2 linked regions of the Sus scrofa genome follow. The protein of the gene in region 1 interacts with the protein of each later gene in a pairwise test. Links are inferred from orthologs where the notes say so. Each region holds a gene or a part of one and is shown on either strand. Other genes may lie near its edges. The genes, in order: RFESD and HBQ1.

The links.
Region 2: the proteins of RFESD (region 1) and HBQ1 interact in binary tests that used the Homo sapiens proteins (3 or more experiments, as listed by UniProt). The two-hybrid records come from large-scale screens. The link is inferred for Sus scrofa from reciprocal best matches to the Homo sapiens genes RFESD and HBQ1.

What each region holds. Positions count from the first base shown.
Region 1 is NC_010444.4:102,250,060-102,253,881, forward strand, and holds part of RFESD (Rieske domain-containing protein), read left to right. Parts: intron 1-1,338; 5' UTR 1,339-1,339; coding exon 1,340-1,514; intron 1,515-1,627; coding exon 1,628-1,662; intron 1,663-3,822.
Region 2 is NC_010445.4:41,477,514-41,481,449, forward strand, and holds HBQ1 (hemoglobin subunit theta-1), read right to left. Parts: upstream 2,640-3,936; 5' UTR 2,577-2,639; coding exon 2,482-2,576; intron 2,400-2,481; coding exon 2,195-2,399; intron 2,093-2,194; coding exon 1,964-2,092; 3' UTR 769-1,963; downstream 1-768.

The sequences.
Region 1 (3,822 bases):
AGAAAGCTCTTTGTCAATCCTTAGATAACATTACACATGGTTCTTTACACTTTTTGAAACTTATAACCACTACAATCTCTATCCTGAGATAGGGAGGAAAAGCAGGAATATTTCCAGAAATCTTGGGATAGCAACGCTAATGAAAAGAAGGTAGGAATGATAGTTTAAGGATTAGAAGTGGAGAAAGAATAAATATAGAAATTCTTGACAAAACAAGTTATATGCTTTTATTCAGAAAAGTATCATAGAAAATAAAAACTGAAATAGCCCCATATGTGAGGCCCTCAGGAAAACCCTCTACATAAGGCCTAACACCCATGACAATGATGTATCTTGCTGTTTCTTTCTCATATGGAATTAACAGCCTATAACTATGTACTTGAAGTATACAGCAGGTATCTTTGAAAGGGTTACTTTCAAAGAAGCAGGCTGAATATCTGTGCTGAGAAAAAAATATATTTAGAATACCTGCACATTCTCTAAAATTTATATATGTCTATAAATTGACGTCATCTTCTTGAATGCTGAAATAAGACCGAAGAAAGTAATGATGTTTTCTATCTTTGTTAAGAAAATGAAAGATGTCCACTCACACTTACCCCTGCTACTAGAATACAGTTACCTGTTTGATCTGTAAGAACTGGCTGTCCTCAGTAGGTATAACCAAGTGAGCTACCTCAATGAAGAGGTACAAGGCTATTCAGACTATCGAAGTCATCTCTCTTCAACAAAAGCCAAATACAACATTGACAATATACAGATGTTGTTTAGCATTGAATTTGATAGGGAATAAAAGAATAGTGATACTTCAGTATCTAAGGAGTTCTGAAATATCTTATGCAATGAACTGAATCAACTGAGTCCAGCCACCTTAAAGTGGGGGAGTCCACTCTCATTTTGGTAAGCTCAACAGCTCTAACTCAAAATCATGACTAACTATAATCCAGTATGTATGTATGTATTATTTATTTATTTATTTGCCATTTCTTGGGCCGCTCCAGCGGCATATGGGAGGTTACCAGGCTAGGGGTCTAATCGGAGCTGTAGCCACTGGCCTACACCAGAGCCACAGCAACGCAGGATCCAAGCCACGTCTGCGACCTACACCACAGCTCACAGCAACGCCAGATCATTAACCCACTGAGCAAGGGCAGGGATCGAACCCACAACCTCATGGTTCCTAGTTAACCACTGCACCACGACGGGAACTCCCTAGTATTTATTTTATATAGCTACAAAAAACTGCCTCCATTAGACTTCTCTTATGATTATCTCTGTAAGTTGAGTGTAGCCAAACTAGTGAAGACCATTTGTGGATTTTTGTTTTTGTTCAACTAGCATGGATATTGATGCCTCTGAAGAAGATCCTGAAATGAAGAAATCTTCTGCTGTCTGTGTTGGCAGAGAAGAAGACATTAAAAAATCTGAAAGAATGACAGCTATTGTTCATGATAGAGAAGTGGTCATTTTCTACCACAAAGGAGAATATCATGCTATGGATATTCGCTGTTACCGTAAGATTTTATTTTTCATTTGTAAACCTTGTACTTGTTTACTATCCACAAAACTATCAAAATTTGATTTTTTTTTTTTTAGTGATTAGATGTAATATTCAATTCCTTTGCAGACTCAGGAGGACCTTTACATTTGGGAGACATAGAGGTATGCAAACTTAAATCGATTCTCAACAAACTCAGATGTTTCCTATTTATATTCTTACTATATTTACATTCTCTGTTCAAAAATAATTTATATTTGGGTTTGAATTATATTTTAATGCTTTGAATATAACTGCTGATATTCTAGGAATTCATAACCCTACAATGTAAAGAAAACCATTTTACAAATATGAGAAATGGGTATGTCTTCTGATCTAGCAAATACACTGAGATCTACTTTACATATTATTGCCAAATGTTCAAGTGTGTGTGTTTGTGTGTGTGTGTATACACTCATAAATATATACACATATATATGAGATTCATTGTAGCAATATTTTTTAAATTTAATTTTTATAGCCACACCCATGACACATGGAAGTTCCTGGGCTAGGAACTTCCACAACTATAGGCCTATGCCACAGCCAGAGCGACCTGCGATCTGAGCCACATCTGTGACCTCTGCCACAGCTTGCGCCATGCTGGATCCTTAATGCACTCTGAGGCTAGGGATCGAACTTGCATCCTCATGGACACTGTGTTGGGTTCTTAACCCGCTGAGCCACAACGGGAACTCCATTGTTACATTATTTATTGTAATGAAAAACTGAAGGCAAGCTATGTTTTAACAATAGGAAACAGTTTAAATTATGAATATCTATGCTATGGAATACTATATAGCCATTAAATTAATGAGGCAGACCTATATGTGTTGGTATGGGATGGTAACAATATATTTTTGGGTGAAAAAAGCAAGTTGTAGAATTATAGGTCTAATGAGATCTCTTTTTTAAAATAAAAATATTCACTTTTCATTTCATATACTTCCCCATGGTTTGATTTTTGCAGTGCACATATATTACTTCTTTAAGTAATAAAATATAAATGAATATATTTTAAGAAAGAAATAGCACTTTGAAGGCTTAACTGAGGAAGGAATGGGGGAACTGTCTTACTTCCTTGCATTCCCAAACTAGCTGCCTAATTTCCTATTTTCAACTTCATGAAACTGATCTCTCTCTGCAACCACCCCCCATCTCTCTGACTGGTATACAGTACATGCTTATACTTATCATTCCACTTTCTATATTTCATATCAACCTAGTTCCACACCTGCCCTAATGTGAAAAGATGTGTTTAAATTATGAATATGAATTTATGAACTGTGAAAATGTTGATTGATGACAGTTCTGTGCAGGTACAGAACAGCATTTCTGCATTTCTGGTGTAGAGATAAAATATAAGCACCTGAATGATAATGTAGCAGAATTTCCCTCAGTTTCAGACCATGACGAAAGCTATAAAGCCTTGCTACTCAAAGTACGGTCCATAGACCAGCAACACTGGTAACACCTGGGAGTGTCCTAGAACTGCAGAATCTTGTACCCTGCTCTAGGCTTATCGAACAAGAGTTACATTTAAACAAGGTTCAAGTGGTTGTCATGCTGTTTACAATTTTAGGAACACTGCTTTAAGACCATTTAAAAGTTGGGAATTAACCACTTTGGACCATAAATTGGTCTTCAGTTAACATATGCATTTATGCCTTTAGTAACCTCTATTGAAATTATATATGAAAGCTTACTATTCTTCCATCAGCCAGTGAAAACTCATTTAGAAGCACTTGTAGCCCTTGCCCCCTTTCTGTCAAGGAAGTGACAGTAATATCTAACAGATAACAACACAGCTTGCAGTCCACATGGTATAGTTGCCTGAGCTACTTATCTTGTGATAGAGCTTTAACACACAGGGTCTCTCATCAACTGCAGAAGGGACTTGATGACTACTAAGATTAGGTTCTGCCTTATACTAAATAATTTATAAATGAGAGGAAAAGAGAGAAGTCTGGGGGGGCGTTATGTTTGTGCTTTTTGCAGTTGTTTTGTGTGTGTGTGTGTGTATGTGTGTTTTGTTTTATTTTCTTTTTAGGACTGTGCCTGTAGCATATGGAAGTTCCCAGGTTAGGGGTAGATTCAGAGCTGCAGCTGCCAACCTATGCCACAGCCACAGCAATGCAGGATCAGAGCTGCATTTGAGACCTACACCAGAGCTCACGGCAATGCCGGATCCTTAATCCACTGAGCAAGGTCAGGGATTGAACCTGCGTCCTCCTGGATACTATTTGGGTTCGTTAGCACTGAGCCACAACAGGAACTCCTGAGAG
Region 2 (3,936 bases), on another chromosome or scaffold:
TGCGACCTACACCACAGCTTATGGCGATGCTGGATCCTTAACCCACTGAGCGAGGCCAGGGATTGAACCCACAACCTCATGGTTCCTAGTTGATTCATTACTGCTGGGCCACGATGGGAACTCCTGTCTTTTTTTTAAACAAGCCAACTTGTAATTCAGTCTGAGGTCTTGAGTGCCTAACACTTTGCGGGTCCCTCTGCTGGCTTCCGTTCACGGTGCCTTGTTGCCCTGTGTGCCTGGTGAGTGTGTAGTTTGTAATGACAGACCTCTTTCTAGGGAGGGTTTCTTTGCTTCTTGAAGGTCCCTGGGGTCTGTGAGGGAGTCCAGGGTCATTTTCACACACGGTCTGCAGCCTGGGAGGTTTTGTCAGGAGGACCCCTCTGGTGACAGGATTACAAAGCCACACATGTCACATGTGATTTCAATTTATCAGGGAATTACCTTCCCTTTTCTGCTGAACATTAAGATTTTGGGGGGAAGTTCCCTTGGGGCACAGGGATTTAAGGATCTGGCTTTTTCACTGTAGTGGCTCGGGTTCGATCCCCAGCCCAGGAACTTCCACATGCTGTGGGTGTGGCCAAAATTTTTGTTTGTTTTTGCTTTTTGGGTTTTTTGTTTTCTGCGTCCCTGTGTCTGAGGAAAGGAGAGAATTGTCCAGGGGGTACCTTTTTAGGGCTCCAGGTTTATGGGGAAGAGTCACCTTTGGTCACTTCACTTTACACTAGCCCTTTTATTTATTTATTTTTATTATTATTATTTTTTCTTTTCTAGGGCTGCACCCGCGGCATATGGAGGTTCCCAGGCTAGGGGTGGAATTGAAGCTGTAGCTGCTGGCCTCCACCACAGCCACAGCCACATCAGATCTGAATGGCGTCTGCGACCTACACCACAGCGCCTGGCAATGTCAGATCCTTAACCCACTGAGTGAGGCCAGGGATCGAACCCGCAACCTCGTGGTTCCTAGTCAGATTCGTTTTCTGCTGTGCCACGACGGGAACTCCTGGTGGTTCTGTTTTATCATTAGTTATTGCTGTTCTTCTCTTGCCATCCTAATTTATACATTAAATTTACCATAGGTGTGTATGTATAGCAAAAAACTATATTGGGGGTTTGGTGCTTTCTGGGGCATCCACCGGGGTCTTGGGACATACCCCCAGGGGTGGTGGGGGTCAGCTGTTGCACCTGCGCCCCCTGAGGGCACCCCCACGCCCTGCATCTGTTTCCCCACTGTTGGGCAGGGAGGAAGAGGCTGGGCCAGACTCGCTAGATACACAGGCAGGTGCAGCGAGTGGAATCGTTTTCAGAGGTTTCTGCGATGGCCATGATTGATTTTTTTTGAGGAGCTCTGAGGTCTGACTCCTGAGAAGAATGTGGCACGTGGGCGGGAGGGGCTCTGGGCTGACTCCCTCATCCACCTTGTGGGCCGCATGGCTTTGTGCTGGAGCAGGAGCCGCCTCCTTTCAGCAGATCCAATCTGGCAGAGCGGCCTTTCCCCAAGTCCGCAGCAGTGTTGACGTGGCGGGTGCAGGGTCCAGAGGCGCTGTGTGGGGTCGTGCGTGTTGCCGCCCTGGGCAGTTCCGGTCCTCGCCGGCGGGGGCGCTGGTCCCCGCTTCTCGCCCAGCCTGTGAGCTGGACCCGCGCTCGGGTCTGGGTGGACCTGAGGCGTGCACGCCGCGCCCGCGAGAGGTCCAGCCGCGGGCAAGCCCTTGACCCCTACCCGCCACCCCTTCCCGAGCGACCGGAGCCCCGGGTCTGCGCCTCCGCGTGGCCCTGGCGAGGGGCCCGGTGAGTCGGGGTTTACCGCGGGGAACTGGGCGGCGGCGAGGGGTGTGAGCGGGCCGGGGGTGGGGGCGTCCGCGCCGGGAGCTGACAACGGGGGGTGGAGAGAACATGCGCACACCTGAGGCTTTGACCACAGACTTTACTCCAACCCTGGAGCCCCCGCACGCCCCCCCGCCCCGATTTAGCGACAGTGGGGGGCCAGCGCTGAGGTCACGTGGCTCAGAAACTTGTCCAGCGAGGCCTGCAGGCCGGGGCTGAAGTCTCCGGGGTAGTGCCGGGCGAGGGTCACCAGCAGGCAGTGGCCCAGCAGCTGCGGAGAGGGAGGCGTTCCCGCGCGGGTGCGGCGCCCCTTACCCGACGGCGGCCCTTCCGCCCACCCCCCGACCGGCCTCGGGCCCGGCCGCGCGCTCACCTTGAAGTTGACGGGGTCCACGCGCAGTCGCTGCGTGTGCAGCTCCCGCAGAGCCGACAGGGCGCGGGGCAGGTCGTCCAGGCGGTCCACGGCGACAGTCAGCGCGTCGGCCACCTTCCGGCCGTGCGCCTTGACCTGGGCGGAGCCGGGGTTCAAGTCCAGGTGGAGGAAGTAGATTTTGGTGGAAGGGAAGGCCGCGAAGGTCCTGCGGAGGCAGCGGCGGGTGAGGCGCAGCCTGGGGCCGGGGGCCGAAGGCAGCTGTGCCGGGAGGCGGGGGCCGTGCGCACCTCTCCAGGGCCTCGGTCGTGTAGACGCCGACGTTGCCATCCAGCTTCTTCCACAGGGCGCGCACCGCAGCCCGGTCGGCCGCCGCCAGCACCATGGTGGAGCCCGCGCGACGCGCGCTCGGCCCGCCGGTGGAGCCGCAGCTGCGCCTGCGCCAATCGGCGGGCGGTCTCCGCGGCCTCCGGGGGGCGTCGCGCGGGGCTTCGCAGAATCGGGCTCGGCTCGACTCGGAGGGGCTCGGGAGCGCGCCGTCGGGTGTCCGCTGGGACCTGAGGCCTTCCTTCCCCGAGGCCCCGATCTTTGAAGTGTTTCCTGTATGGAAGCTAATGTTTAGTACGCATCATTGTTCATTGGCAGCTCTGAGTTCTAGCACGGGTTTTGTCTTTGAACGTCTGCCTCCCCTGCCCGTCTGCTGTGACCCCTTTCTGAGTCTGTTTTCTCATTCACTGGGTGTGGTGAAGGCAGCAATTTCTTCTTCCCAAGGCTGTGCGGGATTCATAGAAGAAGCCCCTTTCCGGACAATGAGCATTTATTGAGTGCCTGGAGTCTGTCCCCAAATAATAGCTAATACCGATGCAGCACTGTTGTTTTTTTGTTTTTGTTTTTGTCTTTTTTTCTTTTTAGGGCTGCTCCCGCAGCATATGGAGGTTCCCAGGCTAGGGGTCTCATCGGAGCTATAGCTGCTGGCCTACACCACAGCCGCAGCAACACCGGATCCTTAATTCACTGAGCGAGGCCAGGGATTGAACCCGCAACCTCATGGTTCCTTGTCAGATTCATTTCTGATGCGCTAAGATGGGAACTCCTTTTCTTTTCTTTTTTTTTTTTTAACTACTTTTATCGTTTATTTTCCTTTTTTTGGCAGCCCCATGGCATATGGAGTTCCTGGGCCAGGGATCAGATCCGAGCAGTTGGAACCTAAGCTGTAATTGCCTCAACGTCAGATCCTTACTAAACCCACTGTGCCGAGCCAGGAATCGAACCTGTGCCCCAGCCCTCCCAAGATGCTGAGGATCCTGTTGAGCCACAGCGGGAATGCCACAGCACCCATTCTGTGCCAGGAATCACTATACCCCTTTCTTTTAAAAACTGTGTTGAAATTCATACAGCATCAAATTTACCCTTCGCCATTTTCAGGTGCACAACTCAGCATCTCTAATCTCGTTCACGGGTGTCAGGCAGCCATTAGTGCTAGCTAGTTCCAGAACGTTTTCATCATCCAAATGGAAACTCTGAACCCCCGAGCAGTTACCTGTAACCCCTGCTTCCAGCTCGGCTCTCTGTCTCCGCGGATTTGCCCATTCTGGATGTTTCGCATGAATAGAATTGTGCCGAATGTGGTCTTGTGTCTGGCTTCTTTCACTTAGCACATCTTGGAGGCTTAACCACATGCCAGCATGTATTGGTATTTCATTGCTTTTTATGGCTGGATAGCATTCCATGGCACGGATAGATCA